Caenorhabditis elegans: one gene and its partner. The protein of the gene in region 2 interacts with the protein of the main gene of each other region in a pairwise test. Each region holds a gene or a part of one and is shown on either strand. Other genes may lie near its edges.

Region 1 (6,026 bases), on a different chromosome or scaffold from region 2:
AATAATTTAATTAAATAAACATTCATGAAATTAGAAAAAAAAACTGCCGAGAATCGATTTTTTCGAACGCCTACATGTACAGTAGTATGTGAAAGGCATATACTGTTCACTGCGGGGGTCTCGCTACGATTATGTATTTGCAACAAAATTTCCTCCAGCTACTGTAGTATACGGCATTTTTTCTTCACAATTTTTTAGGTTTTAAAATTTTCCACATCGGTTTTCAAAATTAATAATTATTAAAAAATCTAAAAACAAACCTCAATGGCCGATGAAACTAGTGACCAAACGAAAAGTATCATTTTTTGTTCAACTGATAGTAATTTGATACTGAATATTGCAAATCTGCAATGAAAGTGTCAAACCGAATCAAAATGTTGAAAAAGAGTGTCAATTGGTCGAAGACCGGCTCCCATTTTGAAGCTAGACGACGTCGCGGATGAGAGAGCAAAGAGACGCAGTATGCTAGTTGTTGGAGAGAACGAAAAAATGAAAGAGAAGTCGAGCTTCTCCCTATTTCGCATTGCTCCCGCTTTTAAGCCACATAAGAAAAGAGTGAACTCTCGATAGTGGTTTTTATTGAGCGAACAAATTGAATGCGGATAAAAAACAAAAAAAGAAGGGAAAACAACGAAACGAGGTGGGAAACAAAAAAACGAACGTAACAGAAACAAAAAAAGAATATAGAATGTAACAATAACAAGAATAAATTGAAAGAGTGAAAAAACGAGACAACTCTAACGAAGGAAACAAAAAGGAAAAGAAAGATATAGATTTGAAGGCGTCGTAGTTGTGGAGAACAACTCGAGTTGGTGGGTCGTGGAGAAGATGCAGGAGGATTATGCTGAAAAATAAAAGACATTTGTTTGTTTTACTAGAGAATGAGGGATGACAGACAAAAGCTTCTCAAATTTGGCGGCGCACTCTCGCGTTACACAGGTGTCGTATGTAATATTGTTTGAATATGATAATATTTTTGTAGAATATAAAAATTTGAATTATGCAATTTAAAATTAAAATTTCAAAAATATTGAAACATACCTAGCGTCTTTAACACCGCTTTCCTCCCCTTTCGCTTCTTTTTTGGATCTTCCACTCCAAGCTCAATTTGAGCAAACTTTTTAACCTGCTCACGATCTTCTAGCTCTGTAGCTAACAGTCGAAGCGCTGCCAAATTGATTCCAGTGACATTTCTCAATTTTTCCACACCCTCGGACATTTTCGATTTCATTTGTTCGAAGATTGGGACATAATCGGACGAGGCAGTGATGTGACTGAGGTGGATTCTACAAAAAAAGTGGTTGCAGTCATTTTTAAAGTTTTCAGACAAACCTTGTTAGATATACAGCAACATGGGTGCACAATTCAGCTTTATACTGTTGTTGTGTGCAAGATGAAATAGCCAGAAGGATGTCCGCAACGTAGGAGAGAGGTACTAGAAGCAGTGTTCTATCAAGGTCGCTGGCTCTACATTTGGCGACGACATCAACGATGAAATGATCCAATGATTTACTGTTATACGCTCCAATAAGAGGATGTGGTTCATGCCCTGGATCTTCTTGGCGTTGAACCTTCTCGTTTCTAGCAATGTCAACTGCTTGAATGATATTTTCAGCGGATACAACACTGGAACTTGTCTTGCTGCTAGCCACACCAGCTTCATTGTCAGCATTTTCACCAGCAACAACGTCTTCCTCTTCAATAAGTTTTTTCTCGTATTCTTCTTCTCTTTCAACTTCCTCTCGTTCCTCGACAATTAAAATTTCATCGGTTTTCTCCCAGCAACGGATTGACTTGTCATGAGAAGCAGAGAACTGAAAATCAATATTTTGAATTAACAGGTATTTTTCACTTTATAATACTCACCATAACAGATCCATTAGTAAACTGAGCCAAACAACGAATATCCAAAGTGTGTCGATCAAGAACTTGAACCATAATAAATTTCACTGCATCCCATTGTTTAATTTTTCCATCTTTTCCGGCGCTCCAGAAGAGTTGTTCTTCTCCAGGACAGAATAAAACCGAAGTTACTGCATCATCGTGTGCATGGAATGATTTATGACAATCACCGAAATCCAATCCCCATACTTTGACTGATTTATCGACGGATCCAGTGACACAAAGTTTACTGGAAGGTGCAATATCGACACATGTGACAGGCAGTGAATGTCCGTATAGAGAAACAAAGAATTTAAGCGTATTAACAAAATACACTGAACATGTGTTATTCAGAAGAGCCACAACAAGAAATTTTCCATCCGCAGAGAAACTTGCAGCCAATGCTTCATCGGGAAGTTCGAGAACTTTTTGTTCTTTGATGGAAATTCTCTTTCTTGATCCTTCTGTCACCAGCACAAATGACCAAAATCGAACCGTCTTATCTGCAGAAGCCGTGATAAATCCTTCATTGTCAGGTGAATTTTGAATAGTCCAAATCGCTCCAGTGTGTGCTTTTCTTGTTTCAACCAGCTCGGCACTACTTAACTCGAACACGCCGATTTCTCCGTTCTGCAATGACAAAGTTAACTTCAAAAAATATTATACAACACAATACCTTTCCACCAGTTAAAATGTAGTTATCACCAGGAACAAAATTAACTGCGACAATGTCTTTGATATCGTTGTCAGTCAATGTTAATGACGACCGCAATGAGTGTGTACTCCATACAATTACTTCATTTCCACCTCCAGAAGCAAGAAGACTTGAAGAAGAAGATACACATAAAGCACGTACATCTTCTCTGTGACCGAGTTTGTCTAGATTACCAACACTATCACATTCAACACTATTTGACGTAGTTTCAATACTCATTTTGACCCAATGAACTGTGTTGTCTGTGAGAAGTGCATACCACTTATAAATTAAAGTGTTTTCGTTTGTTTTGACTGATCTCACAACATCAATCCACTTGATTTTATGAGGTAAAACCATCTCTCCAATGCGAGTAACAAGAATTGTCACATCTTTTGCCACATCATCCTCGTTAACTGTTGTTGTGTCAGATCTGAGAAAATGTAGTTGATGAAACAGTTATTTATTGACAACTTACGTCGCTTTTCGTTTAGCACTTTTTAACTTTTTGGTAAGCCTTTTTGCAGATTCGGTTTCGGAGAAGACTCTATAGACGTCGGCCACTTTATCAGCACCAACACATACTAAGAATCGATCATCATGAGTTGCGACCAATTGCAGAGCTCTTCCTTTGCTCTGACGGATCACTCTTCCGCGCAGCTTTGTCGTGATATATCTCTGAACATTGATTATAATAACTTATTTTTTTAGAAAACTATTACATTGGCCATATTAGCAAGAACATCATCTTCCTTTTCATCATCGTTTGTTGCTTTCTTTGCAGAAGGTTCTTCACTTTTTACTTCTTGTTCAAAGATAGCGCCATTTTTCCAATTGAGTTCGAAAACAAGCAATTCTAATTCAGCAGTTGCAGCTACAAGTACTGTTTCATCACGATGCAAGCTCATTGAATAAATTTCGTTTCGGCTGTCCATCACTGTATAAAAGCATGACTGCGAGGCAATACTCCAAAACTTGATCAAACTGTCTTTCGATCTGAGAGAAACAAGCACATTACTTCAATAAAATTAAGTTGAAACATACGTGGAAATTATGAATCTATCACCGCGGACAAATTTCATTTGTGTGACTGATTCCTTGTGGCCGTGTAAACGAAACATTCCACGTTCGGCAAGAATGTCCCACAGAACAATGACTCCATCTTTTCCACCCGTCGCAAACAGAAGGCCATCACTGCTAAACTCGATGCAGTTCACAGCTTTCTTGTGACCAGAGAACATAATTGGTTCAGAATCTGAATGCAATTGTTGTGATTTTGATTGAATAATCAAATTAAAACCTTCATTTTCTTGATTGAACAACTTCACTGAACCATCGGCATATCCAATTGCAAGAAGCGGTTTGTTCTCGCATTGCCGAACACACGAAATTGGCTTTGTAGATTCAATAATTTCGTTAACCTGAAAATATTTACAAATTAATGTGATTTGTATTTTAATAAACCTTTTCTGCAGTTCTCATGTTGTAGAAATTTAAATATTCATTTGCCGATACAGCAACGGTTTGTCCATCAATCGCAACAAGTTGGCCGTTGGCAGATCCAACGCACCCACAGGAGCCGGCATGTTCATATTTCAAATAATCCTTGGTCAATCCCATCTGAAAACAAACAATTATAATTTTTGGGCAATTCCAATAGGTTTATAAAAACATAATTGACAATGTTTTTGGTGATGAAAAAAGAGCCAACAACTCGAAAATTGGGTTGTGTGCAAATAGCAAAGCAGAACTCGGAAATAATTATAGACCATTGAACAATTTCGAATGAAAAAAAGATGTGCAAAATTTAACATGTATTTATTATCTAGAGACGCAAACGCAATACGGAAAAAACATAATTATAAAACTCGAGAAATAATTATCAAAAAAGATTGAGATGTCAATTGACGCGCATTGTCCGCAAACACGACTACGAGGAAATGCACAGATTGTGAAAAAGGAGGGAAGTTTAAATTTGAGGATCTACAAAAATCGAGACCCGAAGAACTCGGGGGATGTCCAACTGGGGGGATTCCCAACTCGGGGGATTGGCCACGCCCACAGAACCGTGCCTTACAATACGCCCATTTCTGCAACCTCCGCACGGTTTTGAATGATGATTTTTCTTCATTGTTTTTTGGGGGAGAAAAATCAATTTCGACTCTAAAAAGTTCAATTTGAATTGTTTTTTTCGGTTTTTGAGTCGTTTTCGCGGAATAAAAGTAAAATATTTCAAAAAAATCGATATTTCGCAGTGAAACAACAATTTACACGGAAAGGGGACGCGTAAAAATCGATTATTTGCAAGGAAAGAACAATTTACACGAGAGGAGACGAAGTGAAGAACGTAGAACGAGTTCTATTTAAAAAATTCGAATAAGATAACCTGAAAAATTGTCATGAAATGTTTTTCAGAGCCGACGGAAATTGTTCAATGAAATTATTGTACAAATTGGTTTGCAAGCTATTCATTGAACATTAAGAGCGAGATTTTATTGATCATGATAATTATTTACAGATAAGGATAATATTACATTTAATGAATTGCATAATTTCAACAAAAAAAACAATAATTTGTCATGAAAACGGAAGAATTTGGAGGATGAGCAGCTCGGGCGGATCTGAAAAATTTAAATTAGAACTTTCATAAAGACATCGCTGATATATAAATGAAAAAAGATTTTATCTGGTCTATTATCAGATTCGCTTAGTTTTTAGAGGCTTTTGGCTTAAATTCAAAAAGAACATTCAAAATAACATGGTTATTGCGAAGAAGAACTGATCGCCCGCCACTATGCAGAAATTCCGACTTCAAAAGAGCAGTGACAGCAAATTATAGCTGTTTCAACGATTTCAATGCCTCTATAAGTCCATATATGTTCGATCCGAAGATATTTCATTAATTTTTTGTTAAACTATTTCAATTTTTGTTCTTAAATCAATTTTTTTCCTACTTTCTACAATTTGAGAATATAATACTAACGTGGGTGGACTGGAGAAGCACATCCTTGTTTCATCCGTGCAATTTTGATGGTCCCTCGATTCGACGAAGTCTAGAAATTAAAAAAATCAATAAAATATGAGAGGGAAAGAGATTAACAAAAGGAATACACGAATTAAGGAGGGCGAATTAACAAGTCACGGTTGAAAAATACTTCTTTTTGCGAAAATGGCTGAAAAAACGAAGAAAAACAATTCAAATTGAACTTTTTAGAGTCGAAATTGAATTTTCTCCCCCAAAAAACAATGAAGAAAATCATCGTTCAAAACCGTGCGGAGGTTGCAGAAATGGGCGTATTGTAAGGCACGGTTCTGTGGGCGTGGCCAATCCCCCGAGTTGGGAATCCCCCCAGTTGGACATCCCCCGAGTTCTTCGGGTCTCCAAAAATCGCCTGACGGTTACCTGCGCCTGAAAAGAACCAGAAATTCTCTCCAGGATTTTATCATTGCC
Region 2 (5,504 bases):
ACCAAAAAAATATGTAGGTCCACAAATAGTACGGTATAAAAAGATGGCGTTTCGTGGGAAGAGTCAGTCAATTTATTGCCTATTTCTGAAAAAAAAACATGACTGCTCTAATTTCTATTTCTTTGCTTCTTGTAACTTTTGCTGGAGCTGCCGAAATGTGTGCACCAGTGACTCAGCACAGCACTCCTCAATCCGATGTTCCAAGTACTGTCACAATTACTTTTCATAAGCTCGAGACTTCGACGACCACTAAAGATGAAATCCTTAACGCAATTAGGACTAGCCACCCAGATGTGCACGCCACAGGAGAGCCAATCGATAAAAAATCAATCAAGGTTACACTAACTGCTGTTTCATGCGTGACCGCTATGAAGTAAGTTATTTTTCCAAAAAAAAAAACATACTTCAATGGGAGGTTTTAAAAAGTTCCTATGTATAGTATATAATAAAGAAAATCGTATCTATATCAAATGGATACTGATAAATGCGGTTTTGTGCGAAATCTGTTGTATACACAAATTTCATTCCAGATTGGCGGAAGAAGTCTTGAATGCAGGTACACCAGTGGTTTTAAATGCATACGCAATGTTGTGTGATGGGGAGATCTCTACGAATATTAAACCATAAGATCTTTCACGCGAATTCTCGATACTTAATATTATGCGATTTAACTTATTCGATTATTTAAATGAAGTATTTTATCACAGAGAAAAAATATATAAATACTTGGAAAATATGCAAAATTACGTCATAATGCTCGGGGAAAACTAGCTCAGGAATGTGCTACAGTGAAATAAATAATGGATGCCAAGAGTCCGATAATCAATGCAATAGTAATCAGTATGGTTTTCGTTGTGCACCATGAATCGCTTGATCCATCGAAGTCAACGAAATGAAGATCCTCAATCGGTGTTCGCACAGCTTCCATCTCTTCTGGTGTCAGCGCGCGTTCCCAGCCTTCATCCACGTGTTCTGAAATTTGTTAGTCGAAATTCGAAGAATAAAAGATGTTTTGTACCAATGCTTGTCTGTAAATCCATCATGTCATCAAAATTCTTCTGTGCATCTTCTACATTATCAGCCTCAAAGAGGAAATCATTGATGAGAATTGCTGGATGTGTGTAGAGTACTGTAGTAGCTGGACGAGGTAGTTGATGGACGGTGATTCCAGTTTTTGGTGATCGTTCCTCTTCAACAACTTCCATCGATTCGTAGTGAAGTTCTGAAATAGATATTTTGAACATTAAAAACTCAAAAAAATTGTTTTCAACTAACCAACTCTTGCAAACAGATTCCTGACTAAATGATGCTTGATTGCTCGGATTGCGTCCTTCACTGTTGATCTGATTGGAACAGCTGCGCGAACTTCAATGTCAAAAAGAACTTCGTGCATGTTGGACGCAATATCATCGATAGCTCCGAGCTCTCGGTTATCTAGAACTTTTTGACGATTGGTCTCATAGTCAAATAAAACAGAAAAAAACATACAAAGAGGATTCAAGAACAATTGTGCCTCAATCGTTGTCTTTTTATTCTTCTTGATATCTTTGATCAGTGGCTCCTTATCATCACGGATCTCACCATCAAGAAGTGTAAATTCACATTGGAATAAATTATTCACAAAGTTTTTCGTGGCGACTACCAAGTCAGAGTAGAAGTCAGTTGGGCGTCCTGTGTCAACTGGAACATTGTGCACAATTCGAGCAGATGCGTTTGTCACCAAAGAAATCCATTCAAGTTTTTGAAATTGAACTTTTTGGGCACTATCGTTGCCACGATTGGTCACATCAATTATGGCACCGATGGGGGTGGTGGATGGGGTCTCGAAGAACACTGTGATCTGAAAGTGAAAGAATATTACTGATTTTTGAAAAGAAAGGATTGGCAATATCTGAAAGGAACTATTAGTTTTTACAATAATTGTTTTCCCAGAAAAATAAAATATACATTGCAAATTTTTCTAATTTTGAGATACCTACCATATTATCCGAAATCGAGTCATCCACATTAGCCGTTGTGATTTGATTATTCATTTTCTGAATACGACCCAATGTCTTGTGAATATGTGATTTCCGATCTGAGAAAGTCTTCTTATCTGAGAACCAGGCAATTCCAACCACATGAATTCCACCGGGAAGCATTCGGAGAAGACGTTCTGCGTGATCTGACATCCATTCGTCTTCCAGCATCTTTGATGATTCTGTAGCATTCTGAAAATAATTACTATTATGAAAATTGTGATATAGTAAAATCCTTTACCTCTTCCAATGCACTGCTATGAACCGGACATTTGGAAGCATATGCCACGTGGATGTCACCATCCGAGCAGAATGATCCGAGCAAAAAGTAGGCTGACGCCGGAATTCCTTTATCGGATAAAACAAATTCGTGATTCTTCGCTGACTTGGTCACCCATTCCTGGAGTTGGACGTCAAACAGAATCATGGATTCTGTAACTGGAATTGCAAGTGTTGATGTCATTTTTTGTAGATGATAGTTAGTTTTTGGACAATACTTTAGCGAGTCAATATAGTATGAAGGCTATGCAGAATACATGTGGAGACGTTGATTGAAAAGTATACAGAGGAGGTGGATGATAAGCCAACTGCTGCTGTGGCAAACAAAAAGAGGGTTACCATGACGATGAATACCCAAGAAATTGAGAAAAAGGCGGTCTCCTCAGGTAACATGCACACCCCCAGCTCGGCCGGAGGAGCGCCGCGAGCGAGAAAATAAGATGTAATCGTGAAATTAGTTTTTGTGCGAAGGCATCTAACGGGTAAAGTGGGCACGCGTGTTAAATATAGGCGTTTTTGCTAAACTTCAGAGTTTAAATTTATTTTCTGAAAGTTAAAAGAGAGATCGCTTACGTTGAAAAACAAATTTCAATAATGACAGCTGCGAAGAGTCGGATTTAATTGGAACATCGTACTTTCTTCGTTTTATTTTACTCCCTTACTTATTTCTAGGAATCAAAAGTTGTATTTTATGAATATAAATAAGAAATACAATTTTCTATTTGTAAAATAGCTGAAAATTAGCAAAAAAAAAGAAGAAAACTCAAAGAAAAAGACGGAAAAAAAACAGAAATCGCTTAAAAATTGTTTTGTTGGACAGTTCGACAGAGCGCACTTTCTGACCCCAATATTGGCAATTTCCAAAAGTTTTTGGAACAACTTATAAGTTAACTAAAAGCTAAGTCAACAATAACCGTGAATGCTCAATTTCGTGAAAACAGCAGATTATCTGATAAATATTTAGAAAATATTGAAAATTTAATTTTAAAAAATATTCAATTACCTGTTTTCATGGGGTCCACCTTTTCCAAATGCAACTCTGGATGAGATGTAGCTGTAGTCTTTGACTTTCTTCTATTTCTAGTCATTTCAATGTTTGAATCTGAAACCACGAGATTCTTCTAATCGAGAAAGAGTGTTTTTTTTTCGAAATTGAATTTTCGAAATGTTTTGAGAATCGGAACATAGACGAACAAAAGAACAACAATTGAATACTTTCTTCTATAAAACTGTGCAAACTTTTGCAAAAAAAAAAATAATCGAAGTTTTATAGTTCATCTACCAATTTTGTTGTCTAAAATATTTGTATTTTACCCTAGGACCCTTCACTGAATCATAATAAATTCCCTGAACGTCCGACTATTACAATTTTGATATGACGATAGAACAAACCTTTTTCCTGTTTTATCAACTATAATTTTTTAACTGTCAATCAGTCAAGTCTTGATAAATAAAAATTAAAACAACATTTAAAAAATGGCTGAAGAACCAGGCAGAGAGGAAAAGTCTTTGTGAGTGTTGGAGCACAAGTTTTCAAGGCGAAAATTGGCAGGTGGAATATGAAGTCTTTTCGGGCATAGAAACACCAAACCCTGAAATTAGTTTTAGACTTTTTTAGTGAAATGGCAGATTAAGATAGTGACGTCACAGAAATATTTATTTTATTACTCAATTCCTAAACAATTTAGGTATTTGGTTCCTGGAAAATAATTGGATTGATGACCGATTTTTTTCTAGGCTTCATTTATTTATATATTAAGTAACAGGGTTGTTTTCCCAAGGTTTCCAGCTTGGTTTCCAGTTCGACCGCCAGCTGAGAAATTGTATCCAAAATGATTGAGTTTCATTTAAAAGTGTCTTTCCATCTTTAAACATCTGACTTCGACGGGAATATTTTTCAGAAGCTTTTTCCCAACCCAACCATTCTTCCCAAATCATCTATTGGGGTGGAGCTTCAAGATAAGAATCAACGAGACGCGGAGAAAAAAACAAAAAACTGAAGAAATTGTTTCCAATGTTTCCCATCGTCTCTTCCCGTGAGTTTCTTCTGACCAGTGTCAGTTGTCAAGAGCTTCTCCCTTCCACTGGACCACCTCCCCTTCTTATTTCAATTCTCCACCTTCTTATCAGTATCAATTGATCTACTACATCATGACATTATTAATCGCATCACTACTTGTCACTTTGTTGGTCATCTTTGAACAGATCAGCTCTGTCGGAACACATATCTCATCAAACAGCTTATCCAGGTACTGGTTCATTTGATTGATGGGTTTTATGGATGGTTTCTTCCAATTTAGCAGGTCTGAAATGAGCCATTTTTCTTACTTACTTCATTTCTGATCTTATCTATAGAACTTTCACTTACTATTAGATGTTGAGTTTTCCAAAAACAATTATATTTTTACTGGCAAGAAGTTTAGAAAATATTGTAAGGTATAGTCTCGCATCAAGTAACGGCGTAGGTGCCAACTTCTTCAATTTCTGTAGGCAAAATCATGAAATAGCCGAAAAAAAAAGTAATTTCTCCTTGTTCCACTGGGCAAATAGGAAAGGTTTACTGTAGTTACACTCGTAATAAGGTACCTCACTAATCCAAAAAACTGTTTTATCACCGTAAAACTACCCATTAACACAATCAGTCATGATTTTTCGAGCAAAATAGCTTCAGCTTTTGCGACGGAGGCCCCAAATCCTCAACTCAACGAGCTCGTAATGAGCAGCAAATCTCAGCTTTTTGCTCTTTTCTTTTGCATTGCTCTACGATGCTCTGCGGGCGGTCTTTTGCCATTAACCAGATGGTGATCATTTTCGAATAAAATGTTACATTTACGGTGGTAGGAAACTGCTTCAGAGAGGTCGGGGGGTAGGATGAGAAAAAAATGGGGATAGGAGGAGATGGATGAGTGTAAGTTTGTAGAAAAAAGTGTAAAATGTTTGAGATGTCATTCTGAGGTTCGGTTACAAATACACACTATTTGATCTTTGAATTCACTCAAGATATCTGGAAATGGAAATTTGGGTTCCACCGCGGAAAATTCATTTATAGAAAAGAGTTTCTGATGCGGCTTCAAGATTACTGTAGCTTGCATTCTTGCTTACTTTTTCATTAGTTTATTCCATAGTTTTTGTGCGGTCCAAAAAGATAAACTAAAATTTTTAATCCATTCGATTAAATTTTTCATTGTTAAGGTTACTGTGCTACCC

Evidence for each region.
Region 1: the proteins of odr-4 (region 2) and F13H8.2 interact in a two-hybrid assay, tested with the Caenorhabditis elegans proteins (one large-scale study listed by BioGRID).

Annotation. Positions count from the first base shown.
Region 1 is NC_003280.10:6,268,541-6,274,566, reverse strand, and holds F13H8.2 (Small-subunit processome Utp12 domain-containing protein), read right to left. Parts: upstream 4,204-6,026; 5' UTR 4,196-4,203; coding exon 4,040-4,195; intron 3,997-4,039; coding exon 3,876-3,996; intron 3,831-3,875; coding exon 3,620-3,830; intron 3,572-3,619; coding exon 3,298-3,571; intron 3,254-3,297; coding exon 3,054-3,253; intron 3,009-3,053; coding exon 2,558-3,008; intron 2,512-2,557; coding exon 1,867-2,511; intron 1,815-1,866; coding exon 1,333-1,814; intron 1,287-1,332; coding exon 1,042-1,286; intron 845-1,041; coding exon 840-844; 3' UTR 560-839; downstream 1-559. Other genes in the region: bpl-1 (BPL/LPL catalytic domain-containing protein), read right to left, coding at 261-302.
Region 2 is NC_003281.10:6,729,115-6,734,618, reverse strand, and holds odr-4 (Odorant response abnormal protein 4), read right to left. Parts: upstream 3,820-5,504; 5' UTR 3,386-3,819; coding exon 3,301-3,385; intron 2,966-3,300; exon of another isoform or gene 2,871-2,965; intron 2,457-2,870; coding exon 2,260-2,456; intron 2,211-2,259; coding exon 1,980-2,210; intron 1,841-1,979; coding exon 1,489-1,840; intron 1,441-1,488; coding exon of another isoform or gene 1,435-1,440; coding exon 1,276-1,434; intron 1,223-1,275; coding exon 1,019-1,222; intron 973-1,018; coding exon 773-972; 3' UTR 683-772; downstream 1-682. Other genes in the region: Y102E9.3 (HMA domain-containing protein), read left to right, coding at 99-373, 531-627; Y102E9.5 (uncharacterized protein), read left to right, coding at 4,449-4,546. UniProt on the Caenorhabditis elegans protein: Required, with oct-8, for the localization of a subset of 7 transmembrane domain odorant receptors, including odr-10, to the cilia of olfactory neurons AWA and AWC.